Linked DNA regions of Oryctolagus cuniculus. The protein of the gene in region 4 purifies or fractionates together with the protein of the main gene of each other region. This does not show direct contact. Links are inferred from orthologs where the notes say so. Each region holds a gene or a part of one and is shown on either strand. Other genes may lie near its edges.

Evidence for each region.
Region 1: the proteins of PLEKHM1 (region 4) and VPS33A purify together in Homo sapiens (affinity purification with western blotting; 3 studies listed by BioGRID and IntAct, with this or other methods). This does not show direct contact. The link is inferred for Oryctolagus cuniculus from reciprocal best matches to the Homo sapiens genes PLEKHM1 and VPS33A.
Region 2: the proteins of PLEKHM1 (region 4) and VPS41 purify together in Homo sapiens (affinity purification with western blotting; 4 studies listed by BioGRID and IntAct, with this or other methods). This does not show direct contact. The link is inferred for Oryctolagus cuniculus from reciprocal best matches to the Homo sapiens genes PLEKHM1 and VPS41.
Region 3: the proteins of PLEKHM1 (region 4) and VPS39 purify together in Homo sapiens (co-immunoprecipitation; 3 studies listed by BioGRID and IntAct, with this or other methods). This does not show direct contact. The link is inferred for Oryctolagus cuniculus from reciprocal best matches to the Homo sapiens genes PLEKHM1 and VPS39.

Annotation. Positions count from the first base shown.
Region 1 is NC_091452.1:6,882,815-6,890,010, forward strand, and holds part of VPS33A (vacuolar protein sorting-associated protein 33A), read left to right. Parts: intron 1-115; coding exon 116-253; intron 254-3,207; coding exon 3,208-3,345; intron 3,346-6,579; coding exon 6,580-6,748; intron 6,749-7,196.
Region 2 is NC_091447.1:28,828,994-28,836,189, forward strand, and holds part of VPS41 (vacuolar protein sorting-associated protein 41 homolog), read right to left. Parts: intron 6,412-7,196; coding exon 6,319-6,411; intron 5,386-6,318; coding exon 5,258-5,385; intron 3,899-5,257; coding exon 3,754-3,898; exon of another isoform or gene 3,552-3,753; intron 3,374-3,551; exon of another isoform or gene 3,304-3,373; intron 2,939-3,303; exon of another isoform or gene 2,825-2,938; intron 1,593-2,824; coding exon 1,551-1,592; intron 1,399-1,550; exon of another isoform or gene 1,238-1,398; intron 1,151-1,237; coding exon 1,100-1,150; intron 1-1,099. UniProt on the Homo sapiens protein: Plays a role in vesicle-mediated protein trafficking to lysosomal compartments including the endocytic membrane transport and autophagic pathways. Acts as a component of the HOPS endosomal tethering complex.
Region 3 is NC_091443.1:65,247,314-65,255,276, forward strand, and holds the start of VPS39 (vam6/Vps39-like protein), read right to left. Parts: upstream 4,549-7,963; 5' UTR 4,377-4,548; coding exon 4,304-4,376; intron 1-4,303. Other genes in the region: TMEM87A (transmembrane protein 87A), read right to left, coding at 7,878-7,919. UniProt on the Homo sapiens protein: Regulator of TGF-beta/activin signaling, inhibiting SMAD3- and activating SMAD2-dependent transcription.
Region 4 is NC_091448.1:18,646,635-18,654,505, forward strand, and holds the start of PLEKHM1 (pleckstrin homology domain-containing family M member 1), read right to left. Parts: upstream 4,908-7,871; 5' UTR 4,900-4,907; coding exon 4,777-4,899; intron 2,654-4,776; exon of another isoform or gene 1,310-2,653; intron 1,253-1,309; exon of another isoform or gene 1,172-1,252; intron 1-1,171. UniProt on the Homo sapiens protein: Acts as a multivalent adapter protein that regulates Rab7-dependent and HOPS complex-dependent fusion events in the endolysosomal system and couples autophagic and the endocytic trafficking pathways.

The DNA.
Region 1 (7,196 bases), on a different chromosome or scaffold from region 4:
GAGACAATACCGAGCCATTCTCCTGCACGTCCCCGGCTTTGACTTTGGAAATTAATAAGCCTGGAGTTCTCAAATCACAGAGCAGATGCTGAGCTCATGTGCATCTCTGCTTCAGGCCAACAGCTACATCGAGGACTGCATTGCCCAGAAGCACCCGTTGGTCAAGGTGTTAAGGCTGGTTTGCCTGCAGTCCGTGTGCAATAGTGGACTCAAACAGAAAGTTCTGGATTATTACAAACGAGAAATTCTCCAGGTCAGTGTAAATTATTAACTTGCCAAGAGGAAAGCACTTTTTAAAAAATAAAGGTGCTTAAAAATAAAAATACTTCACAAAACGGCTCTAATGTTGCATTGTTACCACCGCCTTTAATTCTTGTCATACTAGAGTAACTGTTCTGACGTCTGTTCTTGTTCTGCATGTCAGTAAAGTGGCAAACCTTTACTGAGCATTTACTGCATGTCAGGTCTTTTGGAAGAGGTTTGCACGTGTACATTTGTTTATCCTCACGACATCCCTACAAGTTAGATACTGTCACTGTCCCCATTTTATGGATGAAAAAACTGAGGCACAGACTTGTGAAGTCATCCACAGTCACCCAACTCATAAATAAAAGACTCAGGCAACTTGGGTCTAGTGCTGTGCTCTTGACAGCGTGGTCCTAAGCTGGAGAAAGGGAGCTGTTTACAAATTTTTGTAACAGTTCCGTAGCAGGCTGACTTATACTAAGTCTGTTTTACTTCATAATGGGGAAAGCCCACCATTATTTACAAAATGTCTCTTCTGTTTGAAGCTATCAGAGACAGTGTTTAAGCGCGTTATTTTTTTTAAAGATTTATGTATTTATTTGAAAGACAGATATACAGAGAGCAGAGGCTGTGGGGGGAGAGGTCCTGCATCTACTGGTTCACTCCCCAAAAGGCCCCAATAGCCGGAGCTGGGCCAATTCGAAGCGAGGAGCCAGGAGCTTCTTCCAAGTCTCCTACATGGGTGCAGGCCAAGCACTTGGGCCATTCTCTGTTGCTGGCTAGGAAGTAGCACAGCTGGGGCGCGAACTGGCACCAGGTGGGGTGCCGGCACTGCAGGTGGTGACTACCTGCTTCACCACAGTGCCTTCCCTGAGTACATTATTATTAAAATTAAAAATTTGTTTTTATTTTTACCGTTTTCCAAGTTTACATAAGGTGCGTCAAACAATGCAGAAGCACCTGGAGCAAAATGGGACCATCTCTGTACTCTGCGACACCCCGTCTCGCTCCCCAGATGTCACCAGCGTCAGCCACTTCCAGACTCCCTTGTTTGCAGACACCCAAGTGGGACTGGCTGAGTCCAGGCCCAGCTCTGCTCTTCATGAGCTGTGAGCTGGGTGGCGTGCGTGAAAGGGACCTGACAGTGCTGCCCACTCGTGGGGTCGTGGCGCAGATGGCAGAGTGAACTGAGTGAAGCGCTCGATCAGAGCAGTGCCCCGCTCCTAGACAGTATTCTTTTCTTCACGTTCTTTGTTTATTTTATTTTATTTTTTGACAGGCAGAGTGGACAATGAGAGAGAGAGAGACAGAGAGAGAGGTCTTCCTTTTGCCGTTGGTTCACCCTCCAATGGCCGCCGCGGCCAGCGCACCGCACTGATCCGAAGCCAGGAGCCAGGTACTTCTCCTGGTCTCCCATGGGGTGCAGGACCCAAGCACTTGGGCCATCCTCCACTGCACTCCCTGGCCACAGCAGAGAGCTGGGCTGGAAGAGGGGCAACTGGGACTAGAACCTGGTGTACCGGCGCCACAGGTGGAGGATTAGCCAAGTGGGCCGCGGCGCTGGCCTGTTTATTTTCTTTTGAAAGAGAGAAAGTAACAGACATTCTGACATTTGGAAAGAGCTCTTCCAGCAGCTGGTTTGCTTCCTCAAATGACTGCAGCAGCCGGGGCTGGGCCGAGCTAGGTCCAGGAGGCAGAAACTGCACCTGGGCCTCCAGCCTGTGTGGCAGGGGCCCAGGTGTTGGAGCCGCCATCTGGGTATGCATCAGCAGGGAACTGGAACTTGAACGCTAGTAGTCCCATGTGGGATGAGGCTGTCCCAAGCGCATCTTAACCGCTGCGCCAAGCGCCTGTCCCTTGTAGAAAGTGGTGGCTGCTGTTACGTTTTTTAACAGATACAAAATCCAACTATACATGATATTACCTCTTTTTTGTTCTTAAGACTATATCTAGGGCTGGCGCCGCGGCTCACTAGGCTAATGCTCTGCCTAGCGGCGCTGGCACACCGGGTTCTAGTCCCGGTCGGGGCGCCGGATTCTGTCCCGGTTGCCCCTCTTTCAGGCCAGCTCTCTGCTGTGGCCCGGGAGTGCAGTGGAGGATGGCCCAAGTGCTTGGGCCCTGCACCCCATGGGAGACCAGGAGAAGCACCTGGCTCCTGCCATCGGATCAGTGCGGTGCGCCAGCTGCAGTGTCCATTGGAGGGTGAACCAACGGCAAAGGAAGACCTTTCTCTCCCTACTCTCCCTCACTGTCCACTCTGCCTGTCAAAAAAAAAAAAAAAAGACTATATCTAGAAGTCTTTCCTATCAGGAAGTGTAGGTCTGCCTTATTTATTTTTGAACTAATTATACCCCGTGTATAAATATGCTGTAATTTACTTGATGCTATTTTAATACTTTGAAAGTGTTAAATCACTCTGCAGCCGTGAGCTGTGTTCACAGTAATGGGCAAGCATGTTAGGACAAGTTTCATCCTTTGCCCTGTCTGCTGTGTGCACTGGCGGTTATGGCTGGACTTCAGTAGTTACTAGTTATTTTTGGAATACAAACGGATTTGTCAGAGGTGCCCTTTGTGCAGGGCTGGCGCTGTGGCATAGCAGGTAAAGCCACCACCCGTGATGCTGGCATCACATACAAACGCTGGCTTTCGAGTCCCAGCTCCTCCATTTCCGATCCAGCTCCCTGCTAATGGCCTGGGAAAGCAGTAGGAGGTGGCCCAAGTGCCTGAGCCCCTGCACCCATGTGGGAGACCCAGAAGAAACTCCTGGCTCCTGAGGCTTCAAACTGGCACAGCTCTGGCCATTGTAGGGAATGAACCAGTGGATGGAAGATCTCATTCTCTCTCTCTCTTCTTTTCTCTCTAACTCTGACTTTCAAATAAATAAAAAAAATTAAAAACAAACAAAAATTGCAGAAATGCTTTTCCTGATCTGACATCAAGGCCAAACGGAATGTTTTGTAGACTTACGGCTACGAGCACATCCTGACCTTGCACAACCTGGAAAAGGCCGGCCTGCTGAGACCGCAGACGGGAGGCAGGAACAACTACCCGACCATCCGGAAGACGCTGCGCCTCTGGATGGATGACGTCAATGAGCAAGTAAGGCAGCTCTCTGTTATCTGACTCCCTGTGACATCTGCCTTATTTTCTACAAAGAACTTCCTGACGTTTTGCAAAAGGCGTGTGTTCACGTGTTGTGTTCATCAGAATCCCAGCAGGCAGGAGAATGTCCTCAGAGTGGGTGTCTTGAGGAGAACTGAACGTAGACATGGTCAGGGTGGGACTACGGCCGGTGTAGTGGAGAGCCCTCGCCAGCGCAGGCCCGAAGGGCAGGGAGGTGTTCCCGAGCCTCTGCTGGAACTGGAGAGGAGCAGTGTAGAGTCAGCAGGCAGAACCAGGGATGAGGAGCCACTGGTCAGGGCACCCCGCTGCCTCCGCAGGGTCAGAGAGGAAGCCCAGAGCCTAGGAAGGGGCGAGTATAGCCTGCAGGTGCCTTCTGGGCCCAGAGCCTGGGAAGGGGCGAGTACAGCCTGCAGGTGCCTGCTGGGCCCAGAGCCTGGGAAGGGGCGAGTACAGCCTGCAGGTGCCTGCTGGGCCCAGAGCCTGGGAAGGGGCGAGTACAGCCTGCAGGTGCCTGCTGGGCCCAGAGCCTGGGAAGATGGTGGATGTCCAGCTCCCGTCCACAGTCAAGCAAGGTAGCTTGAGTAAGGCGAGGCAGGCAGCTTTTGAAAAGTCCGTTTCCTGCCACAGTGAACCCTGGTTTTGGGAGCCAACCACTGTAGCCAGTTTTCAATCTCTTTCCAGAAAGGTGGTGTACATATACAAACATTTTTACACAAATGGTGCACGTTTCTAGATTTCTTTTTCTTTCTTTTTGGTTTGTCATAAAGGAAATAAAGGTTCATAACTTGACAGTCGCCTCTTTCAATAGCAAAATTAAATTTTTTCTCCCTGAAAGTGGTAGTACCCTTACTTTCTGTTTCATTATGTCCATAATAAATGAGGGAGCTTCAAGAACTTCACAGAAGGCTGGACATGTAGCCTAGTAGTTAAGACGCCTGTTAAAACCTGTGTCTTGGCCGGCGCTGCGGCACACTAGGCTAATCCTCCGCCTTGCGGTGCCGGCACGCCGGGTTCTAGTCCCAGTCGGGGCGCCGGATTCTGTCCCGGTTGCCCCGCTTCCAGGCCAGCTCTCTGCTGTGGCCCGGGAGTGCAGTGGAGGATGGCCCAAGTGCTTGGGCCCTGCACCCCATGGGAGACCAGGTTAAGCACCTGGCTCCTGCCTGCCATCGGATCAGCGCGGTGCGCCGGCCGCAGCGCGCTGGCCGTGGCAGCCATTGGAAGGTGAACCAAGGGCAAAGGAAGACCTTTCTCTCTGTCTCTCTCTCTCACTGTCCACTTTACCTGTCGAAAAAAAAAAATTAAAAAAAAAAAAAAAACAACAACAAACCTGTGTCTCACATTGTTGGTCCTGGGTTTACTACCTGGCTCTGGGTCTTGACTCCAGCTCCTACGAATGCCAACCCTGCAAGGCAGCAGTGATGGCTGAGATAGTTGGGTCCTGGCACCTGTGTGGGAGACCTGGGTTGAGTTCCCAACTTGAGCTTTGGCCAGTCCTAGCCAGCACTGGGAGCATTTGGGGGAATGAGCCAGTAGATGAGAGCGCTCTCAGAGTACGTCTGTCTCCCTCTCACTTTCTCTCTCTCTCTTCCTCTTGAATAAGTAAAATTCGTGGAAAATACATATGAAAAAACTGCATGGGTTTCAGTTTTTTACTGCCCCAAAATGAACTTGTTGAATTTCCTTTTCTTTCTGTTTCCTACTTATTTATAAGAGGCAGAGTTACAGAGAGGCAGAGGCAGAGAGAGAGCAAGTTCCATTCGCTGGTGCACTCCCCTAATGACCACACTGGCCAGGGCTGAGTCAGGCCCAAGCCAGGAGCCAGGAGCTGCTTCTGGGTGCAGGGGCTCGAGTGCTTGGGCCATCTTCTGCTGCGGGATTTCCCAGGCACATTAGCAGGGAGCAGGGTCAGAGGTGGAGCAGCCGGACTTGAACCAGTGCCTGTATGGGATGCTGGTGCTGCAGGCAGCAGCTTTTCCTGCTATATCACAGCGCTGGCCCCAGATTTCATTTTCCACCAACTTTTTGAAGTCCCTTCTTGCTGGTTTGGGTTGTGTTACTGTCCCGGAGGGGACAATGGTTCCCGGAGCAAGTTGGTGGGTTCTTTTCCTCAGCTTAGTATAGAATTAAAAAGCTGGGAAACGCTTTGTGAAAAAGCAGAGACTTTATTTTTGTTTTGCAAAGTGGCAGTGAAGCACCTCGTCTGAGAGGAGAGCAGATGCACGCCTGCGCAGGACTCTGGGTCTCGGGAAGTGCCGGGGTCTCAAAGGCTTTACTGTCTTTTCGTTGGGTGTTTATGGAGGTGCCCCGTGGACGGGGTTTCTCACTGTGTATGCTGATTGGCCTGGGGCCATGGAGACAGTGGGAGTCTCTTGGAGACAGCCTGGCTCCTCTTGGGTGGGCTCAGCCCCTTCTGCGAATTCTGGGTGGAAAATTGCGACTAGCTTGAAGATGTGGTTAGAAGCACCGGCTCACACCTACGGGACAGGATGCTGCGGTGGGGAGGATGCCCGCCTCCCAGCCTCGGCATGCGCCTGCTGCCCACATCTGCCAGGGGCTCACAGACCCAGCCCCGCTGGACGGCCTCCGGTTGTCTTCAACTTCCCCACCGCTTACGGGGTCTTGAAGATTTCCTGTGGTCTCCCCCTTCTCCTCCTTATTTCTTTGTAGTTGCTGGCTACTTAGTAGTTTTGAGGATATAGCTTAGGATTTAGCAGATAGAGGTTGAGGTTGTGTCCAGCCTTTTGCCATTCCATACAGTGTTTCAGTTCCTGCGCTTTCACTCTGTCCACTGTCTTAGGGCCTACAAACACTTCTGTAGGAGAAAAGCCCAAAGTACCCTAAAAGTACAGTGCTGGGTTCAAAGGTCGTGCATGATGTTACTTGGGGAGAGTGCGCTCAGTTACCCCCAGGGAATTTCTTGTCAAGCAGAATGGCAAGTTCTCCTGTGCGGAACCTGGGGCTGACTGCCCGGCTTCGGAGTCGAAAGGGAAGCTCTGGCTGCCAAGAACCGCGCAGCTGGAGTGGAGCGAATCGGAGCAAGCACAGGGTGCGTGTGCGTGTGTGTGCGTGTGCGTGTACGTGTGTGTAGAGGGGGACAGGCTTTGTATCTCTGCCTTCAAATACAAATCAAATAATTCTGGACTGCCCAAACAGCCGCAGTTCGTAGTCTACGTCTCCGAGTCTCCGAGCTTCCGTTTGTTTCTTTAACAGAACCCTACTGATATATCCTACGTGTACAGTGGTTACGCGCCGCTCAGCGTGCGGCTGGCCCAGCTGCTGTCGCGGCCCGGCTGGCGCAGCATCGAGGAGGTCCTCCGCATCCTCCCGGGGCCCCACTTCGAGGAGCGGCAGCCCCTGCCCACAGGGCTGCAGAAGAAACGTGAGTGGCGGCCAGGTGTGGCGCGGTGGGTGTGTCGTGCAGTTGCTGCGTCACGTGCTTGGGACCAGGACCGCTCTCGTGGTCGTTAAGTGCGAGAACCACGTCACTCCCTCGGGAGCAGCAGCCCCCGCCTCTGCGTGGAGGAACCCGCAGTTAGGAAAAGCCTGGAGCTGCAGATCGGTGTGTGTGAGGTTCAAACGCAGCGTCTTCCAAGACGCATCTGCCTTTTCATCCATGTGGAGGACAAAATGGTTTTGTTTAAGATTTATTTATTTACTTTGAAAGAGTTACACAGAGAGGGAGAGACAGAGAGAGAGAGAGATCTTCCATCCACTGGTTCTCACCTCAGATAACCACAAAGGGCAGCACTGGGCCAGGCCAAAGCCGTTTGCCAGGAGCTTCATCCAGGTCTCCCCCTTGGGTGGCACAAACCCAGGCAGTAGGACCA
Region 2 (7,196 bases), on a different chromosome or scaffold from region 4:
GCATGGTGACTTGCTTGGGTAAGCAGTAATGTTGAGATTTCCGATCATGAATGATATAGCCAGAGCAACTACACAACCCCTCAGTGCAAAAAACAAACAAACAAAAAACAAAAATCACAACAAAAAATACCAGAGACCAGGAAACATCTCACATGCCTACCTGCAGTCTTCAAGAGTCTCATATATAAAGCTGACTTACAAATAAAATGCTCCCAGGTTCTGGTCCTGGGATGCAAGGTGATGGGCAGAGATGTAAGTGTGTTCTTTGTATCTGATGCCCTCAGTTCAACTCCATAATTGCTATCACTTCTGAAGCCTTTTCTTACACTTCTATTCTTTGAAATTCAATTATATTTATTTTTGTTATATAGAATCAGAGAAGCAAAAACCAGTACCAAACTCTAATAAAACTGATTAATTTGGCTGAATACTTTTGCATGCATTAACATTCTAAATTAAAAATAAACACACATGTCATATGAAATACAGAAGTCAGTTTTTTAAAATGTTAAAGTACTAGCACATAAATGATACAGTGGTTTCCTTATACAATTTTTAAAGGACATCACTCTTGCTCTACTCTCATGATGATGCAGTACACAGAATCCAAGTAGCACTCCCCCAGGAAATCTAGAACAACAGGTCTTAACAGCACAGACCACACGAGAGAAGAGGGACTGGCTATTATCAAGGTGAAAGAAAGCTGAGGCTGTGCTGTGATTGCTCTGTGGTGCTGGACACAGCGAGGCTGTGTGCTGTTTCCCCAGCAGAAGGCGGCAGCGTGTGCAGTACTCCTCAGAGTTTGCAGTGGTTTCTGCCATGACTCCAGTCAATGGCGACTAGAGTGGGAAAGTGCTTACTCCTAGGCACAGTAACAGAGTGACACAAAAATGAATTGAAGTCTATATCACAATTCAACTGTAAGTCAAAGTTCAAAAGTCTCATCTGCATTTAACCTTTAGCCTTGGATTCAGAGCATATGCCCCATTTTAGGAATTAAAAAACTTCCATAAAGAGTTCACTCCAGCATGTTTGCTCCAGTATTGAAAGGTGATCTGCCCACCACTCAGTTAAGAAGGCAAGAGACTGTCATGCTTACCACATGCTGCAGTTCTGGTCGGTCTTCCAATTCTTCTACTACCTTTTTAATCTATAAAGAAAAGAACATTTTGAACAGAGTTATGAGGACACAAGTGCAGCTGATAAATTATCTGATAAACATCTCTCCTCTTTGTAGCTGAAGTGGTTCCGGACAGTCAACTGGTAACCAGTAACACATTGCTATGGTTTGATAGTTACAGAAGTGCAACTCCTGCTCCCCCGCTTCCTCTCTTGGGATGTCACTTCTTTCTTCTGCATGCATGCTGCTTGCCTCTCACACAAGCTTCCTGTCACCAGGTAATGCCCTGTGTTGCTTTGGGATTCTGCCTGCAAGAAGGCCGTCATCAGATGCAGCCCCCAACCTCAAGAACTATCAGACAAAACAAACTTCTCTTCTTTATAACTCTCCCAGATTATGGTATTATCAGCAGCATAAACTAGACACTTACTGAAATTTTGTCTTCATTGTCCAAAAGCATGTCAACAGCTTTCTGAAACAGAAATAGTCATGGTCATTGAAATCCGCTGTACAAGATGGGAATACTAAACTTAATATAAGGCATATGCTATCTCAGTTAAAGGTTAAATATTATTTTCTGTATTTCAGGAGGCCCTTTGCTTTTCAATGGCCCTTATTTAAAATGACATTTGTAAAAAAATGCATTTTCAAGAAGTCTCAATCTGAAACCTGTGTGCTTTGCCTACTATTGGCAAAGTGTCTTGCTATAACTCACCAAATATAAAAAAAAAATCTCAGCTACACATATTTTAGCCCTCTTCATGTCAAAGACATCACTATAAGTTCTTATGCAACTCTTGGTAGTTAATGGAAAACATCTCATTCCAGAACCACAAAGATGAGCGTTACTTGTGACTACTGGAACCTTGACTAAGTCTCCCTATGAGTGCCTACAGACATAATAAGGAACTGGTCTTAGGCAGAAAATATTTGAAAGAGCCAGAAAAACAATAATACACCTTTAGTGTCACAAAGATATAAGGTTACTGACTTTTAGAATTTACGTTGGCCACCCTTAACATTAATGAAACGTAAATTAGAAAGCTTACAAGAAGTAGCAGGAAGACAGCCCACCAGCCTGAGGCTTATACAGAGTTGCTGAACCCTGTTTCTTTTTTTCTAAGTTAATTTATTTCACTTGTGTGAGAGGTGGACATAGATAAAGCCACCATCCGTTGGTAATGTCCTTAAGAGCTGGGACAAGGGCACACTAATGCCAGGGGCTAGGAACTCAATTCAGGTCTCCCCTGTGGGTCAAGGATCAAATTACTTGAGCCATCACTGCTGCCTCCCAGGGTGTGCATTAGTAGGAAGCTGGAATTGGAAGTAGAGCTGGGACTTGAATCTATTGGCATCTTAATTGTTAAGCCAAATAGCCATCCTTGGGTCCTGTTCTTGACTTCACTACTACCTAGCTGGCTTCTCCAAACCTTATTTTCATTCTCTGAAATATAAGGATGCTGGGATAGATTATCCCTAAGTTCTCTTCCAATCAGAAATCTCTATGATTCCTTAATTTTGGTTCACGTTCCTGAATAACAAATGTGTTTTGGTCAATTCATTGTTTTTCTACGGCTACGTGTGCAAAACTAGGCTCTCAAGACACATGAGGGAAAGAGGATGGGCATGAGGAGAGCCTGGATGTGGGGAAAATGCAATTAATTTTTATTTAGGCATCTCATTTTCTTAATTATTCTCTGTCAGAGAAGCAGAGCCTTTGTACCTGAGCTTCCTTGGAACCCCCTGCTGCTTGGTGGATCTGCGCCTCTAAGGACGTGAATCATAAAAAAAGGAGGCTACCGCATCTTTTAGAGAAAGGTAGATCTAGCTCCTATCTAAAAAGTTTGTTTGTGGAGATTAATATAACACGTAATAGCGCTAATGCAGTAAAACATCATTAAAAATGCATGCAGCCCTTAGGGTTCTACTTTTTGATTTACCTAAAATTTCAATTTTCTGAATAAAGAACTCTGTTTTTTTTTCTTTTTCAGTCTTGTTATTTCTGTCACCAATACTTACAATTAGATTCCTTTTTATGAACTGGTGAGTGTGTACGTGTGCATACACGGTGTGTGTCATTTACAAAGCCACTATGAGCTGTGGAGGCTGAGTCCCCTCATTAGTCAAGTGAGTCACTACTCACATCTGCCCAGCAATAAAATAACACATTCTGCATGTCCTAGACCTGAGTCTCAGCTGAAACCAGTGAAGCTGCTCCTGCGAGATCCGTGAGAGCTCAAGAATCAAACAGCAGTAAGTGGATCAAAATAGAAGTGTATTTACAATTTTAACTTCTGAACCGAGATTAAAATGTTAAGTGAGCCAGAGCATATGCCTGGTTTATTTGTTTCTATGAATTACATGAGTTTTACAAACACACACACACACTCACCCCTTTAAGTTTCTTATCAAATTACATTTTCTTTTGCAGAATAACCACATCAAGGAAAGGATTTATGAATGCAAGCTATTAAAATAACAACATCTACACCTGGTAGAGTGCTTCCAGCATGATCAGCAGATGGCAAGGCTACCTGACTCTTTCACCAATCCAGCATTTGGACAGATATCTAACTAGTACAAATTTACAATAATACAGCTAGTTTATCCAGCACAAATAAGAAATATATTACCTCTGAATCAAAATCCATTAATAAAACTATTTTATCCTTGATGGAACTGAAAAGATTATGCTTGTGGATCAACTGGAAGACATCTTTATGCCTTAATGTAAGGTATATTTCCAGAGCATTGCCATAGTTTTTGTCATAGGTGTACCTGGTAACGCAAAAGTTTTGAAATTAATAGTCTTCACTAGCTCTAATTAAAACATACATATGCAGATCATGTTGCATAATATTAAAAATTAAAACATTTATTCAGAGGGGAAAAATTTATTGCAAAAAAAATTCCTTGGGAATAAACTACACATGACCAGTAGGTATCTCATTCTCAGAACCTTGTCTTTCATTTCACCACAATCTCAGAAAATTTGTAATATTCAAGTAATAAAATTTTTTATGGGGGGGAATGTTCAATCTCAAAAGTATTATAGAAATCTGTATACCAGAAAAATAAATTATGAACCAGTATGAAAAATTCTCAATTTAGTAAGAGAAAAATCAGCAAAATTCCTAAGCGTTGAGCTGAAAAATGGGTTATCTTCCAAAAGCCTATGTGTAAGTGGGTTCTACAGAATTGAAATGCGTTCTTTCCCTTTAGATTTTTCATGTTAAGTTCCTAAGTCAGCTTCCGAATGCCAGCTAAACAGGAACTGTATTGCTAGTTCTTTATTAACAGTAGTGCCAAATCTAAGGGACATCTAGAACAAGCTTTCCAAAGGAAGATGATAGGTGTTCTGAGTGAGAATGCGGGAAACACACCCCCTCTGCTGAAAACCCGAGGCAGTCCTGAATTCTAGGCCATTCTGGTCAACATCTGTTAGTTTTGGGCGAAAGCAGTAAGAAGATGGGGCCCCTGAGGGGGGTGGGGTGCTGAGGAAGAGCCAACAGGATGACTTCTGGGATGGACCCACAGTGTCCCTCTTCCTGCCCTAGCCTGAGGCTCCCTGACGGCATGAGTGTGTATCATCTATCTCTGCCTCCCAGGCATCTGGCACAAGGCTTCCTGCACCAGAAGAGTGCACAACAGATACGGAAAATAGCAACCAAGCTTCCATTCTGAGGCCAGAAAGTTGGGTACCACACTCGGTGCTCTAGTACAGCATCTCACTCAATGCTTAAAACGATCTCACGAAAAAACCTGTAATGTACAGATACGAGCTGATGCTCGAGAGGTTAACTGACTAAGTTCTAAGGATAACAGAATCCAGAGCCTTGCTCACTGGCAGACTGTTTTGCTTGCCTGATCTAAAACCCAGCTGCCCTTCTGTTGCCCAATGCTGCCTCTTCCCAGTGCTGAGGGCTGGGGTACTTCCTCCCTCTGACAACACAGCTGCATAGTTCCACACACTGTCCTTGCCTTCTAACTGTTATTTGAGATTTATGAAAAGTTCTTAGTAAAGGTAGAAAAATAATATAAGTGGCATCTTCCTCATTCAGAGTTTGCCCAATCTCCAGAATACAAAAGTTTACAATGAAGACCGACTTAGAGAAAGAAGTCCTAGAATGTACTCACAGTTCGGCCAGGGTTTTCAGTAAAGTCTTGTTCTGACTATCTTTCTTCAGGTGGTCCCGGACTGCTTGAACTATTACCGAATTGTTATACAGATCTCCAGGCCATTCTCGGATCAACGTGGCAAAACCCTATTTAGAGGGAGAAAGCAGAGAAAGACGCTCTTCAAATCAGACTTTATGAAATAAAAATTGGCTCCTCCCAGCACACACAACTTTTATAATAATCCTTGGAGTTTCCACAGTGACTTGTGCAGGTAGTGGGCTGAATGGGGGCTGGGGCTCTGGAAGATGAAAGCAGGATTAGGTGGGTGGGATTTTCCACCCCTCAACCTCTGGAGAAGGGACAGCGGCTAAAGGCTGAAAAGATCCCCCAGTGACTAATAGGTCAATCAATCATGCCTAAGTAATCAAGCTAACATACAAATCAAAGGACAGGTTTTTTTATTTTATTTTTTGACAGGCAGAGTGGACAGTGAGAGAGAGAGACAGAGAGAAAGGTCTTCCTTTGCCGTTGGTTCACCCTCCAATGGCTGCCGCGGCCGGCGCGCTGCGGCCGGCACACCGCGCTGATCCGATGGCAGGAGCCAGGAGCCAGGTGCTTTTCCTGGTCTAGCATGGGGTGTAGGGCCCAGGCACATGGGCCATCCTCCACTGCACTCCCTGGCCACAGCAGAGAGTTGGCCTGGAAGAGGGGCAACCGGGACAGAATCCGGCGCCCCAACCGGGACTAGAACCCGGTGTGCCGGCACCGCTAGGCAGAGGATTAGCCTAGTGAGCCGCGGCGCCGGCTAAAGGACAGGTTTTGTAGAGAGAACATGGAAGCCCTGAGCCCCTTCCCATATGTCTTGCCCTGCGCATCTCTCCATCTGTATCATCTGTAACATTCTTTAATAAACAACCAGCAATGAAAGCGTTTCCCAGAGTTCTGTCAAAGCTGAGGCCGGGGTTGTGGGTGGCCTAACTGGCATTTTAACCGCGAGGCGAACTGCCTGCCTCTGCTTTCTACATGTCTTAAACTTCCCATTGAGAACAAGTCAGTATGTCCACAGCAGAATGCCACACCTCATAATCACTTTCCAAGAATTCATGTAAGATCATTTCGTAGATGAGTGGCTTCAGAACTGGATCCCCTCTTGGCAAATAAGGACTGATAGCCTAAGGGAAAGGGAGAAAAAAGAAAAAACCTTCAAAAAGCAGTGAAATGAACCTATATCATAATTATGCACAAGATATAAATGTACATTTCTAATTTAAAAATTAACAAAGTGAACCTTTATTTCTCTGGTCTTACTGAGGAATTAATGAAAATCTAAATAATAAGAGAGAGAATGTCACAGAGATTATAAAAGTCAACTTCTTAGGTAATCAAGGAGTATAGGTCATCTGATCACCTTTCTTCAGAAACTGAAATATATTCACCTTTAAAACTCACAGTCGTCTTCTGAATTTAGGAAAAATACCTCTTGTATTCCTAGTACAGTATTTTCAGTGTTGTGTTAGAAGTTAAATATTTCAGTACTATTCAGTTACCCTAGAGTGCCCCCTACACACCATGGTCGTGCTTTGGGCTTGGGACATGAACGAGGGTCATTATCGCCCACCAGCTCAGAATTCCACAGGCAGACATCTGCACAGGTAACTGTGCCAATCTATGCTGAGTGCTGCAGGAAAGGCGGTAACAGGACTGTGGCAGCAGGGGAGAACCGTGCCCACTGAGGCTGGGGTCTGTGAGGCAAAGCAAGAGAAGGACATCTGGCAGGGGAAAAACAGTAGCAAAGGAGTGCAGCCAAGGATGTGCATCTGTGCTATGGAGGCCCGACAGACGTGAGACAGGGGTCACTGAAGGGAGATGAGGCTGGACAGGAAAGAGATGTGGGGCCGTGCAAGCAATCCCAATTTTATTCTATGGGAAGAGGGAAGCCATAGGTACTAGGGAAGTC
Region 3 (7,963 bases), on a different chromosome or scaffold from region 4:
CCTTTCCTTCCTTAATTACATGAAACACTGACACAATTCATATAAGTCTAGCTACCATCAGTGTGTTCCACACTCCCTCTCCATTCCACCATGGAGATCATTTTAGTGACTGCTCGTTTATCTCTCCACAGTTTCTTTGGAAAATAGAAATATATTATGTATTCTACACACACACACACACACACACACACACACACACACAGAATCTGCATGTTTCACAGGCTCCACACACACATTAAATCTGACAACCAGGCTCTGGAATCAGACATCACTTGCTGGATACTGATTTTGGAAAAATCTCTTAAATTCTCTATGATCAGGTTCTTCCCTTGTAAAATGGGGGTGTTATTAACTTCATAAAAGACTAATAAAGACCATTACTCAGTTAATAGAAGACATTACTATTAATATCATTATTAATTTATCAAAGATTTAATGAATACCCACTGAATCAGGAACTTTTTCAGGAAATGTAGATACAGCTAAATTTGTAAATATACCAAACAAAATTCTTGCTCTGAAGGAACTTACTTTTTTAAATTTTTATTTACTTTATTCAAAAGGTAGAAAGAGAAAACAAAAAAAAAAAAAAAAAAAAAGAGAGAGAGAGAGAGAGAGAGAGAGAGCTAGCTTAGACAAATCTCCCATTCGCTGGTTCACTCACTCCCCAAATGCCCCAGGATGGGACAGGCCAAAGCCAGGAGCCAGGAACTTAATTCAGGTCTCCCATATGGATGGCAGGGACCTAATTACTTGCACTTCCAAGGACTGGCATTAGCCAGAAGCTCGAATTGGAAACAGAGCTGGGACTCTTTAACCCAGGCAGTCTAATATAGAATGCAGAGGCCCCAAGCAATTGTCTTTTTTTGGGAAAAGATTTATATCATTTATTTGAAAGGCAGAGTACCAGAGAGAGAGGGAGACACAGATAGAGGAAGAAGAAGAAACTGCTGGTTCACTCCCCAAATGGCCACAACAGTTGGGGATGGGCCAGGCTGAAGCCAGGAGCCAGGAATTCCATTTTGGTTTCCCACTTGGGTGGCAGGGATTCAAATAATTGGGACATCTCTTGCTGCTTTCCAAGGAGCACCAGCAGGGAGCTGGATTGGAAGCAGAGCAGCCAGGACTCAAGATGCACCTGATTTGGGATGCCAACGTTGCAAGCAGCAGCTTAACACACTACGCCACAACACTGGCCTCCCAAGCAGCGTCTTGACTACCAGGCCAAGGAACTTACTTATGTGAAGAGAAACCATAACAATTAAATTTATAGGGGCTGGTGCTCTGGCACAGTGGGTTAAAGCCATGCCCTACAGTGCCTGCATCCCACATGTGTGCTGGTTCGAATATTGGCTGCTCTACTTCCAATCCAGCTCCCTGCTAATGGGCCTGGGGAAGCAGAGGAGGACAGCCCAAGTCCTTGGGCCCCTGTACCCACGTGAGACCAGGAAGAAGCTCCTGGCTCTTGGCACTGGCCTGGCCCAGCTCCAGCCATTGAAGCCATTTGGGGAGTAAACCAGCAGATGGAAGATTCTTTCTCTGTTTCTCCCTCTCTCTGTAACTGCCTTTTAAACAAATTAAATAAATCTTAAAAAAAAAAAAAAATAGGAAAATGGTGAGACTGGTACCAGAAAGAAGCAAGAGGGAGGTGTACAGGAAATAAAGTCAGGAAGTGACCAGAAGCTAATCGTGTTGGGCGTTGCCAACAAGCATAAGGACTTGGGAACTTATTCTAGATGTGATGTGATGCCACTGGAGGGTTTGAGCAAAAGGCAGGTATGATCAGATTGAGGTTTTCAAAGGTCCATTCTACCTCCATGAACAAAAACAACTAAAATGGAACAAAGGCAAACAAAGAGAAATGATGGTGTCAAGAGTAGTTAATAAGTGGGGCAGACACTGTGGTGCAAATGGATTAAGCTGCACACCATATTGGAGTGCCAGCTCTACTTCTGATCCAGCTTTCTGCCAATGTATCCTGAAGTGCAGCAAATGATAACTCAAGTGCTTGGGCCCCTGCACCCGTATGGCAGACAGAGCCAGACAGAATTCTAGGCTCCTGGCTTTGGCCTGACCCAGCCTCAGCTATTATGGGCTTTTGGAGAGTGAACCAGTGCATGGCAGACTACTCAATATTTTTTTTCTCTCTTTCCTTCTGTATGTGATTCTGCCTTTCAAACAGATGAGTAGTAATCGCTCAGATGAAGAGAAATGACTGGATTTCAGATTTAATCTGGTGGTATGACAGACAAGATTTGCTGATAGAAAGGATGCAGAGTGCGAGGATGAGAAAAGTCAACACTGTGCCAAGGCTTCTGGCCAGCTGCTGGGTTGCGGGATGCAGGGGAACATCACGGTTTGCTGGAGTGGAGTCCTCCTCATTTCCATTTCCCAGGGGAAGGCCTGTGCTGCCTCTAAGATACCTTCCTGCTCAAATGCTGTCTGCCCTGTGTCATCTGGCTCCTGGATGCACTTTCCAGCTAGGGACACATGCAAATAAAAGGCACAATGACTAGAAAGAGCAGTGATTCTTGCTGTGAAAGAATGAAAACAAAGTAGTTGGAGGCAGGAGGCAGTACATGGCTTCCTGCAGCTCAGGATCTTTCACAGCGCCCAAGGAGGCAAAGAGCATTTCTGTGGCTTGGTAAGTAACCGAGGCAGGCCGAAAGCCTGGCACTTCAAAATCGTGTTCCTGAAAAGCACAGGCACAGGAATCTTCATTATGCAAGCGGAGTTGGTGAGCGAGTCTAAGAGATGTGCAGGGACCACAGTCAATGACTCAGATGTGCCAGGTCAAGCATGGCAGGCAGTGGTGTCCGCCCTGGTCAGAAGCATCTGTGCTCAGCTGAGCTGGGCGCCCTTGACCGTGTTACAGTAACAGGCAGCACATGCCTCCACTGTCACTTCTCTTGTATCCTCATCTGTTCCTGGGTCTTGTCCCCCACTGTGTGTCCTACAAGCAGGGGCATGCTCATTCCTCCTTGTATTCCCGTCCCCAGCAGAGGGAAGGGGACCATGCAGGCACCTAATACAGACTTGAGGGAGCAATCAGGGAATGAAGCCCTCTGTAGAGTCTCAGGTCCTTCATTTTGTTAATTTCTTTATTTGCTCCATTTTTAATTTTTACTGAGACCAATTCACAGCAGGAAATGGAGGTTTTCTTGAGATGTCTGGAGGAAGTAGGATTATTTCTTAATCCAAAGGCCCAAGAGAGCTCAGTAGGGAGGTGTGATTTTAGAGGGGCCCACATCTACATGAAGATTGTAACAAATGAACTCCATGCATTGGGGGGTGGGGGTGTGCAAAATGGAAGGGAGGAAGGGAATCCCACTGCAAAGGCCAGGAAGAACTCTGCACAGACGAGTGAACAGCACTGTCAACAGAGTGTGCAGGATGCCAGCCACCACTAAGATTCCACACCGCCATCAGGGGCACCTAGTTCAGGATAAGATCTGCTTAAAGTTATGAGCCACTTTTTGTGGTCCTTAGTTTCCAGGACCTGAACACTAGTGGGACAGACTGAAATTATTTCTTTGTTGGCTGTTATCAGACACAACCACTCCCAGCTAATAGTCAAGGTTTGGACCTCTGCAACTTTCATTTGTATCCCAGAGCACACAAGAGATGCCTGACCATGCCTTCTGCACTAGCCAATTCCAAGAGGATTATGATAATGCTTATGGGTTAGGTGTCATGCAGTCTGGTATGATGCTCTTCTACCTACAGAGTTAGACAACCTGGACACTTTGAATACAAAGCAATCAACTACCTGGCTAGGTTAAAAGCTTAGAGTACTATGTGAGCCACCTACAAAAATGAGAAGTAGATGTATGAGTGATCACTAAGGGGGAAAAAAGTGCATAGCGTTAACTTGTTCCATGTCTAAAGACCAGTGCTGTCTTTCACCTAGAAAACAACACAATCCTTTGGACAAGTTCAAGTCCCTGGCAGACTGAAATTTTCCCACTTTGTTGTCCTCTACGCAAAAGACTGCTTGGGAAACAACACGGGCCCAAACTGAGCACAATTAATAAGGAAAGCTCAGCCTCTAACTACGCACAGAGCAAACGGAAGCGGCACGTCCCTAAAATGCCTAGGTCGCTAGGGATCGCCCAAGCAGCCCCAGGGACATCGCTGTCTACGGCCGGCGGTCATCCCTCCGCCCTCCGTCATCCAGGTCCTTCTCGGGGAGCATCCGACCAGAGTGCATACAGCCAGATGCCTGTCCACTTGCCCAGCCTAGCTAAAGGTCCCAGCTGCTCCCGCCCTGACCTGGCCTCGACCCCGCCGCCCCTCGGCTCACCCCAGGCAGCCAGACAGTCGATCTGCAGAGGCAGCTTTTCCAGAATCGGCACCGGCTCGAAAGCGTCGTGCATGGCGGCGAGCAGACAAGCGCCGCCCTCGTCTCGCCCTGCGTCCCGCAGGCTTGTGGCCTGAACGAGGCCGGGTTAGGGGTAGACCGAGATTCGGCCCAGGACCCCCCACTACAGGGCCTTCAGCAACACAGCCATCGTCAAGCCCGGACTTCCTGCCGGCTGCGCCCGCCCCTTCCGCAGTCTAGGTCCCGCCCCTTCCGTCCTGGCTCCCAAAGTCCCCTCAAGGAATTTGCTGGCGCCCAGGTTCCTATCTTCGCCCTGGACCTAGTTTCTCCGTGGTGGTGCCTAAAGTAGCTAAGGGCTTGAAAGGAAGAAGAAATTTGAATCTTAGCTCTGTCTTAGGCAATGAACGTGGCGGTTAAGTATTCGTACTTTAGCGTCAGACTTGGGATGGAGATCTGGCATTTAGAAAATTCAGCTGTACCTTAGGAGAGTTAATCCTTGGATCCCCAGGTTCTCAAAGTGTGGGGCTCCGGACCAGAAGCAACAGCATCACCTGTGATGAAGTCTCGGGCCTCACTGTAGCTCTACTGAATCAATTTATGGAGGGGAACAGCGGTGTGTGTTTTAGCCAAATCCCCAAGGTGAGTCTGCACACAAGCTTTACCTTTCCAGGCTGGTTTCTCAACTGTAGACCTGTAGCACTGTTGACACTGAGGGCAGGATAATGGGGGCGGGGAGAGGTCTCTGTTGGCAATGCTAGGATGCTTAGCAGCATCCCTGAACTACTCAGCGGACAGATGCCACTGCCCTGCTGCCCAGACACAGAAACAAAGATGTCTGATTGCCCAATGTCCCGTCAGTGACCACCTTGAACAGGCTAGTGCTTCTCAAATTTAATGCACACACAGATCACCTGGAGACACTCTTATAATGCAGATTTTGACTCAGCACAGGGCCCTCAAAGGAGCATTTCTAACATGCAGCCAGAGGTTGGTGTCTTGGAAGATAGAAAAATAAAGCTCTTTTTAAATTGGTAAATACATTCCTACCAATTAAGTCTAACAAGCTGAATCTTAAATCTTAATATTCCTTTTAGGAAGCAGTGACACGGCTCTTCCATCCTAATGGTTCTGTACTGTCTGAGGTTACCTTAGTATTCACCCTGGAGACTTGAAAAACAAAAAAGCTAAATCTGAGCTGCAAGAATTTTTGTATTTGGTAATTGTCCCTACAAAAACATATATCTCAAGACTAGCATTTGAGTTGAAAGCAAAAATGTTAAAGAAAAGGCTGATTATAGTATATGTTAAAACAGGCCGGAGCCTCAGCTCACTTAGCTAATCCTGCGCCTGCAGGGCTGTGGCCCGGGAGTGCAGTGGAGGATATCCCGGGTCCTTGGGCCCTGTACCTACATGGGAGACCAGGAGGAAGCGCAGTGCCAGCGTTAGCAGCATTTGGGGGGTGAACAAATGGAAGGAAGACCTTTCTCTCTGTCTCTCTCACTGTCTAACTCTGCCTGTGAAAAACAAAACAAAACAAAAAACTGGTCCTGGTCATTTTGTTTTTATATTATAAATGTAGGGATCCTTGTGCCACCTTTACCAAATGCTATTCTGAAGGCAATGAAAGAGTATTTTCAAGTAGCCAGAATAAACAGAAATTGCTAAGCAAACCTTATATTATGATATTTTTCCCACAGAAGTTGGTCACCTTCTTGAAAATTTAGAATTACCAGAGCGGAGCTGGAAGAAGGTCTAGTACCTTTTAGTTCCAGGCCTAAGCAAACCACCAAAATAAATAGGTCACTGTGAAACTACAAATTCCTTCTGGATCTGTCCTAAGAAATAAAAAACTATTTCCAGTCCCAGTAACAGTAAACAACAGCTGGAATTAGCAGACCCCAGGGTCTAAAATTTGAACTATACACTCTTATTTTATATAATAGGGCTTTCTGCTAGTCTCAAGTCAACATCAAGCCCTATAAAGTACACTGATCAACTGCCTTGTTGCATTGTAACTCTTATTACTGTGCAACAGCAACACAAGACAAAACCACCAGCTTGTTGCTAATGTATTATTGGCACAAAAATATAGTCAGCTACTCATACTGTTGTTCCTTAGAGATACTGCCTTGGTGACTTCTTAAAAAATCACCAAAGAGCTATAGAGAAATGGTACATACATGTTAGCACTTCCACCACAGCAGGAGCCAGTGAACAGTGGTCATGTGGGCAGTGTACTTACTGGTTTCAACAGAAAGCAAGATAATCCAGAATAAAAGCCGTGAAAAGAAAATGTCCCCAAGAGAATATGGAAGACAGAAGGTTCTTTTGAGAGAGTATGGAAAAAATGAGAAAAATCTATTAATTTTTGTTAAAATTTTTATATTAAAAAGTGGCATGAACTTATGTAGAACAAAACTCTTGGGAAGGCAAATTGGATAAAACCATTAAAACAGAAATATAGTGCTTCAAGTGAATCCCATCACCGTGTGACATCCCTTATAAACAGCTTCTAAACTACCGCCAGATACTGGACCAGTCAAGCCTGCAACCCTGAGGAAGGAGCAGCAGTCCAGGAGCGCCACGCTACTTCAGGCAACAATCACTGAAATGAAGCCCCCTGCACCTGTTTCCTTTCTTGCAGCTCCCTCTTCTGAAGGTGCTCTGGCAAGATGCTCTCTCTTAGCACGTGAGACGGAGCACCGCTCTGCAGCTAATGCAACACACAGTGGAAAGCACGAAGGCCAACAAAGCACTGCCCAGGACTCTGCCACACTGCCCTTGGAGGCTTACAAAACAGTAGTTAAAAGTCTCGGAGTGTGCACCACATTGCCAGCAATGGGATATGTCACAATAGCAGATGTCAAAAGAGTTAAGCAAATATTTCTCTTTAAAGTACATCTGAAATAGAAAAATCTTCAATATACACCATTTTGTAAACAAAATTGCACTTGATTTTGTTTTTATATGATCTGAATCACACTGTAACAGTTTCTTTTTCTTTCAATTATTTATACAACCATGGCACCTTAACTCAGAAGGGGCCCCTTTTTCTCAAAACAATCTCTGCAAGATGTAACCTTGACTTCCCAGGAAACCAAAAGATAATTACCAATTTCCCCCATCACCCATGTAACTCCCTAAATAAATAAAAATTACAGGCAGTTGCTCCTGGAGATTACACATCATGGTGTTGATGATACAGTCCTTTTGAAGGCGTTAAACTTTTTAGTTTGACAGATTAAACAACTGAAACACAGGAAGTTCAGGAACAACATAGATAAGTTGCATAAACATCCATGTCAGGGCTGGGGAGGGACAGGGGCATCAATGTTGTAAATGAGAAGCTTGCAGATTTTTCTCATCCTATGAAATTGTTTTCAGTAAGATGCTCTCCTTGTTCTGACACCTCTCGCCAGCTCCAGTGCACAAAGATCAAGGAACAGATCAGGATGTCATTGCTTCCTTTAATCTCACAGAGCAGTGTAGAAGACTGACACAGGGGCTGATCTCTTCCCTGATACTAAACATCTTGAACTGCCAATCTTCCCATTCTTTACTCCATTTTGGACCTTTCAAAGTGTGTGATCATTCGTTCCTAGGAAGAAAAAAATTTAATAATTATTTATGCTCATCTACTTG
Region 4 (7,871 bases):
TTCAAGGTCTGGACCCTAAGTAAGGGCTAGACTTCAATGATATAAATAATAGCCTAAGTCCTTTACGGTCTCATTAACTAATTAGCTGAGCACAATAAAGTATTCATTAGGAGAGGGCTATTAATGAGTGGGTACTCTGGCCAAGTAACTGATGAAAAACAAAAACAAAAACAAAGTAGGCTGAAGCTAAGAGAGGGCAGGGCAGGGCCAGACAAGAGACAAGTAACTGTCACCTCAAACAAAGTGTGAGAAAAACCACAAAATGACTGAAAACAGCTCCAAGCAGAGCAGTAATTCCAAGAGAACCCGACAATTCGCAAAACCAGACCAAGACGTCACCACCCATGCAGGCCACGACTCAGGACGCACCTTTCTTTGGCCTATTCACACCTACCCCAGAGCTTCAGGAGACAGGAGTTTGTCCACCAGGGACCTAAGCACCTACCTGGGGGACTGGAAGGAGGCTCTGGGGCTCCTGACTGTTTGGTCCGGGTTCCATTATCCACCTGGGTGGCCCAGGCCCCGGTTTACTATCAGATGGAACTGGTATCACCTCCTGTCCTCAAAACACTATTTCTTGATACCAAAAACCAAACCAAAGAGAGGCATGGTTTCAAGAACCATGCGGAAGGGAATACAGAGAGAACTTGGGCGATGCTACCAAGGGGTTTTTCAAACAGTGTTGGTGAAAGTTTTGTAGGGGTAAGGAGGTAGTTTTTGTCATTTAGGAAATAACACACTGTCTCCTGCCACCTCCGAGTGTTGATTCACCCTTACACAGTTTTCCAGAGTAAACAAAGCAAGCTGCTCTGAGCTCATTCTCTAACTTTAATTTCTACAGCAATCCTGTGACAGGAGGATCATCCCTGTTTCACGGAGGAGAAAGCTGAGGCTCAAGAGAAACGGGCCTCAGATAACACACAGAATTCTCTGGTTCCCACATTCTAACCCCTGTGCCTTTTGCCCGACTGATCTGTCTCTTTGGTTTTTGGCTTGAAAAGTTTCAGGCAAGCTACTACTTACAGATTCTTCCAAGGTACTCAAAAGCTCCATTTTATCAATAAGGCCTAAGACCAACAGGAAACAGGCTTGACCGATCAGATTTATAGCCCCAGTCGGCTGAGCCCAGGTCCTGCCATGGTCCCCAGGTTTTAGAGCTGCCCTTTCTTACGCAGTCAGAACACTAGGAATTGTCCTCGTTGTTTTTCTTCATTATAATTCTTGTCTCTTTGTATATAGGATGTCCAATTTTACTTCCTCCAGAGACCAAGGAAGAAAGAAAAAAGAGAACAGTTTAGATGAGACTTACATTGAAAGAAGAAATGGATAACCCCTGGCTTCACCGCTCTCAAAACATTTAACCACCAGTAAACAGCAACCTCTCTTTAGAGACTTGTCAGCCAACTCCCAAAAGTCTTTCCTCCGCTGCCTGAACCATGAACCTGGCTGCTCGGAACAACAGCCTGGTGTTTAAAGCCATCCAGCTGCGGTACCAATGGATGAGTCATGCATTTTCAGTTGGAAAAGAATGACAAAGATATCTTCTGATTCAGAAAGGCAGCTGATCCTTCAGGCATGTGAGCGCTGAATGAGGAAACAGTACCCCCTTCCAACTGCACAAAGCTGGATTTCTGGACAAGTGTTCTGGAAGGGGTGGGATGAGAGGTGGGAAGGTGCGGACCTTTGAAACAACTGCTTCAAATATGAGAGAACTCTTAGCTTGTGATTTCCGAAGGAACAGTGGGTGAGAACCGTGAAGCTGGAAACACTGGCTGCCTTTCTTCCCTCCCTCCCTCCTTCCATCCAGCAACATCCAGCTCCCCAGTATTCCCGTTCCACATCCCACAGTATTCCAACAAGGAGTAAACTCTGAATGAATGAACACGGAGACACTGCCTGACTTGTTCACAACCGTGTTTCCAGTATGTAAACAGTGTGTGGCACACACAGTGGTGCTCAAAAAATACTCGAATGAATTGATGAATAAATAAAAACTAAGCACAGGGCAGGTATCTCCGCTTCACAGACCTCGGAAAACTGAGGTGCCAACTCTTCAGAGGTGGGCCTTGTGGGATGCTTTCCATTAAACCAGGCTGCCAATCAAGTGGAAACCACTCAGATATACTGCTCCTTAATGGTAAGATATTGAAAGTAGAGGGCCAGCGCTCGGGTACAACAGGTTAAGGCCCCGGCCTGCAGTGCTGGCATCCCATATGGGTGCCAGTTCAGGTCCCAGCTGCCCCACTTCCCATCCAGCTCCCTGCTGATGCACCTGGGAAAGCAGCAGAGGATGGCCCTGGTCCTTGATCTCCCACATGGGAGAAGCTCCTGGCTCCTGGCTAAGGATTGGCTCAGCTCCAGCCATTGCGGCCATGTGGGAGTGACCCAGCAGATGGAAGACCTCTCTCTTGGGGCCAGTGCTGTGGTGTAGAGGGTAAAGCTGTGGCCTGTGGTGCTGGCATCCCATATAGATGCTGGTTCAAGTTCCAGATATTCCGCTTCTGATCCAGTTCCCTGCTATGGCCTGGGAAAGCAGTAGAAGATGGACCAAGTCCTTGGGCCCCTACACCCATCTGGGAGACCTGGCTTCAGATTGGCCCAGCTCTGGCCTTTGTGGCCATCTGGGGAGTGAACCAGCAGATGGAAGACCTCTCTCTCTGCCTCTCTGCTTTTAAAAACAAATAAATCTTAAAAAAAAAAAAATCTCTCTCTTGGGGCCAGCACTGTGGTACAGTGGGTTAACACCCTGGCCTGAAGCACTGGCATCCCATATGGGTGCCAGTTCTACTCCCGGCTGCTCCTCTTCCCATCCAGCTCTCTGCTGTGGCCTGGGAGAGCAGTGGAAGATGGCCCAAGTCCTTGGGCCCCTGTCAGCCATGTGGGAGACCTGGAGGAAGCTCCTGGCTCCTGGTTTCAGATCGGCGCAGCTCTGGCCATTGCGGCCAATGGGGAAGTGAGCCATTGGATGGAAGACCTCTCTCTCTCTGCCTCTCTTCTCTGTGTAACTCTCTGACTTCCGAATAAATAAATAAAATCTTTAAAAAAAAAAACCTCTCTCTTTCAAATAAATAAAATAAATCATTTTAAAAAATATATTGAAAGTTGAACAGCATTTGATTTTCAAAGAAGCAAGAGTATAAATGGCAAACACAGACAAGGGGTTCTCTTGAGGTCCTGTAAAATTGCTGTCAAGTGGCCAACACGTCTGAGGCCGGGGCATTAGAAGTTTGAGGAACTGTGCACCAAACCCTCTCCCCCAAGACTACATATACTGAGCATGGGAATCGGTGCCTCAGGAAGGTCCTCGTGCCTCACTGCTCTAGGAATAATCGGCTCCGTGTGCATGGAAGCCAAACGGCCAAAGCTCCGACACCTTCAAAAGAGGAAGCAATTCAACATCCTCTGTGCCCACCCACGCCTCAGCCTCTTCAGGATCCACTCGCTTGTACTTTCACAACCATGAGGTGTCTGGGGACCCACGGGTCCTTGCGCTCAGCACTGGGATGGACTTGCACCAGCTCTGGCGAGGAGCAGCACTGGGAGTGGGTCCTCCACAAATTCCAGGATGACGCACATGGACATGGCTGTGACCACAGTCAATGCCACACAGTGCTACTCCCTGAGATTCTTCAGGACCAGGACACCAGCCAGAAGGAAGTGCCCCAGGCTGAGTGGCCATCTCTCACCTTCCAGACATTTGGATGACAACTCCTATTCCATTAGCTGGCACAATTAATTTAATATGGATGTCAGAAATGCAATCGCCAGGGACAGGTACTTGGGTGCTGGCACCAAGCAAAACCCCCACCCAAGAGTGTGGCGTAGAGGATAAAGAGATTCCTCCCCCTCCACATGTATTTACCACCTGAGCCCCACCTGCCCACTCAAGCTGCCAGGTTTCCAACTGCCTGGCTCCCAGCAAATACCCAGATCTGGCAGCTGGAGGGCAGCCGGCGGTTGGCTCTGCACTAACGGGACTTAAGCTGAATGGAAGCTGGATCGAGGGAAGAACGGGCCCCACGCTGCGGTGAAGGGTGGCAGCGGGGACAGCAGAAGCGACAGGCTACGGAGAGCTCATTCTTAGTAAGAGTGGGGAAGGGTGGTAGGAACTCAGGCTGCAGGAGCTGGGGGCAGTTTAGCAAACCAGGGATGCGGTGTGCTCAGGCGGTAGCAGATGGAAAGGAAGAATGTGCGGGGCTGGAAGGCAGATACACCCGAGACTCGGGAGAAGGCTGCATCAGTCGCTAAGAAAGCGGTGCGCTCAACAAGGCGCCTTACTTTGGTGATGGGTCCTAAATGAGAAGGGGGCAGATTCTGGGGAGCTGGGCAGGGGCTGTGGGAGGCTGATAAGAAAGTTGAGCCAGCGATGGGGAAACCAGAAGGGTGGGTTTGGGGGAGGTCTGCGCGGACCTTTCGGGTCGCCACGGGGGTTGAGAGGCAAGGTTGAGGGCGTTAGCGGAGGGGCGGGGATGTGGCCCAGACGCGAGATGGCAGGGGTCTAACGTGGGGTCACGAGAGCAGCTGTATTTACTCAAGACCCGCGGCGAGGCGACGGGTAAGGCAGAAGTCGGGTCACGGGTGGGAGCAGATGGGGGAGACGGGCCGGCAGTGGCAGAGCGTGGGGTGCGGGCGAGAACGGGTGAGGGCTCCGAAGCCGGACAGTCTCAAGGCAACCGGTGCTGTGCAATCAAGAAAGGGCGGAAGGCCCACCCCCCGTGCGCGTCTCGGCCCCGCCGCCCCTGCGCTGCCCTCCTCGCTCCTGGAACCCTCACTCACCCAGAGGAGCGGGCAGAGGAGCTGGGGGCATTCTCGGCCGCAGGCGCCCCTCAGCCCCAAGTCGACGATGCGCTCTCCGGGCCACCGACAACAGGAAACGGCGCCCGCGGCGCCTGACGCCATCACGCCGGCTGGCGTGTGGCCACGCCCCCTCGGCCTGCGGAGCCAATCGCAGGGCCCCGAGGAGCAGCGGGGCGGGACCAAAGGCTCGCCCTCGCCCAGCGCTCGCCCCAAGGAGTGCATGAGAGGGCAGGGTGTCTCCTGGTGTACATTGGCGTCGGGCGGGCTGTCTCCTGGCTTCTAGGTTCCAGCCCTCGGCGCCGTCTGCCTGACGTAGGGGCTGCTGTTTCGCCTCCCTCAGCGGACTGTCGCCCCCTTGTGAGTGGTCCCAAGGACGCTGGCCCCACCTTTGCCTCCCTGCCAGGAAAACATGAGCACACCTTGGGGCGCGGGAGCGCCTAGAGGGCCTCCGGGGCGCTGTTTGCTTCGTCGCTTCTAGCCCCTTCGCGGCTGTTTGCTTTCCACCTAGCAGGTACATACACTTCCAAGTGGATTCAGAACAAAATGTCCTGAGTAGTGACCACAGCCAGTTGAAGGGCCGGGCAGGCGTCTTGGCAGGGGCTGTGGGCTCTGGGCACTTGCTTGCAGGCCTTGGCCAAATGGAAGCCCGGGGCCTGAGTGGGTGTGGGTGTTGGGGGGAGCCGCCATGTGCAAGTGCTTTGAGGGCACGGAGCGGTGGCTGGGGAAACAGCCCAGTTCTTGGAACCAAGTTCCACTGGCCTTGGCCAGGGGTCATGTGTTCCCTTGCGTCTCCAGGAAGGACTGCGTCCCTCAAATCTCCAGAAAGGTTGGGGTCCCAGGGCCTACTTCCGTTTGTAAGACCGACGGCTGGAGTTGGGGCTGGGACAGTATGCGGGCTGCCTCTGGGTGATCCTCTCCAGGCGTGAGAACCTCCCCGGCTCTGATGGGGCTGTGGGCGTTCAGTGTAGTTAATGGTTGAGCACTGTGGTTTTAAAATAAGGCCATAGAGACTAATTATTCACTTGGTGTTAAACTCATTTTAAACAGAGTGGGAAGTAGGAATTTTCTAGGGAAATCCAGTTACTGTGGCATAAGGATAATGTTTCTCATCATAACTGGCACAGCAAAGAGCACTGGTGGCTTGGCACAGGACGCCCTGCCCCAAATCGAGCACATTATGTCCTTCTGTGCTTTGTGCACAGCCGCCATCCTCGGGTGCTATGGGGAGCTCCTCGGACTAATCTCTTATCTGCTGTTCAGGAGTCTCTGTCTCTGTCTCTGTCTCTCTCTCTCTTTTTTTTTTTTTTTGACAGGTGAAGTCATAGACAGTGAGAGAGAGAGAGAGACAGAGAGAAAGGTCTTCCTTCCGTTGGATCACTCCCCAAATGGCCACTACAGCTGGAGCCAGGTGCTTCCTCCTGGTCTCCCATGTGGGTGCAGGGCCCAAGCACTTGGGCCATCCTCCATTACTCTCCCGGGCTACAACAGAGAGCTGGACTGGAAGAGGAGCAACCGGGACTAGAACCGGCACCCATATGGGATGCCGGCGCCACAGGCGGAGGATTAACCAAGTGAGCCACGGCGCCGGCCCATGGAGTCTCTGTCTCTTGGTCTTCCCTTCCTTCCTAGGCCTTCAGCCTTGCCAAAGAGTCCAAAGGCTTGTCTATCTCTTCTCATCTGGCTCAACAGGCCCTTGTGAAACTGCATAAGAGTATGGTCCTAGGAGTGGGCCGGAGGTGGGCAGGAGGGAAATGCCACAAATGTATACTCACAGTGCACATGTCACAAAATATCTCGTATATGGACCAGGAGTCCACCAGAAATACTCCAGATGGAGAAATAAGTCTCATGTTACCATTTGAGCAATAATAAAGGCTTCTGCAGTTTGCTGTGGGAGCAGAAAGGAGAACTTGGGAGGTGCCCTGGAGGAGGGTCATGTGTCTAGAAACGCATGAACGACTGCTAGGAGTTGAGGCTAAAGGGTTATTTCAATCTGGCTTCCATCTCTGATACTCCCTTGGCTTATCTCACTCCCTTGGCTTCTGGTAACAGAACCTCCCTCTCATTGTACTTTTGGGATGAGCCTCCTCTATTCCATGTGATTCTGTTGGGATCAGGTTATTGGTTTAATACCCCCACCCCAAGATGTGCACATGACCTTGGTTGGTCAGTCTCCTTTTCCTTGACCCATGTCCCAAGGTTTTTTCTGAAATGTCTGCTCTCTCTGGCAGTGTCACATTGGAATTACACCTGTCTTTGCAGACAAAGGGCCCAACTCCTCCCAAGAGCAAAGCCATCACAGAGGACAGCAGAGTGGAGAAACAGACAGGGGAAGATAACACTGTTTGAGCCATGGGTGCAGCCATATGTGAATATTGTCATTTTTTTTTTCTTTTTGGCAGGTAGAGTTATAGACATTGAGAGAGAGAAAGACAGAGAGAAAGGTCTTCCTTCCATTGGTTCACTCCCCAAATGGCCGCCACGGCTGGTGCTGTGCCAATCCGAAGCCAGGAGGCAGGTGCCTCCTCCTGGTCTCCCATGCAGGTGCAGGGTCCAAGCACTTGGGCCATCCTCCAGTGCCCTCCTGGGCCACAGCAGAGAGCTGGACTGGAAGAGGAGCAACTGGGACTAGAAACCAGCACCCATATTGGATGCCAGCGCCGCAGGCGGAGGATTAACCATGTGAGCCGTGGCACCGGCCTGGAATATTGTCTTTTTAAACTTGGGCAAGTTATCTATCCCCAAACCTAGCTTCTTCATCTGTTAACTGGGGAGAATAAGATCTCAATGGTAGCTATAAGATTTAAATGAGTTAACATGCATACATAACATATGATTGCTCTACATGATATTGTAACATGTTTGTAGATGATACATGATTTACTTTCCCTGCAAACAGTGTTTGGTGCACATATGTCTTCAGAGGTCCTCCTAGGATCTGTAGCGGTAGGCTGGACATCACTGCTCCAGAGGTTCCATTTTTGAGCCAGACAACTTTGTGTTGTTGCCTTTTGACCCCTGTACATTCTTTCTCTGAGAACAGACTTTGGGGTCCTAGTTCCTTCTACCTCATT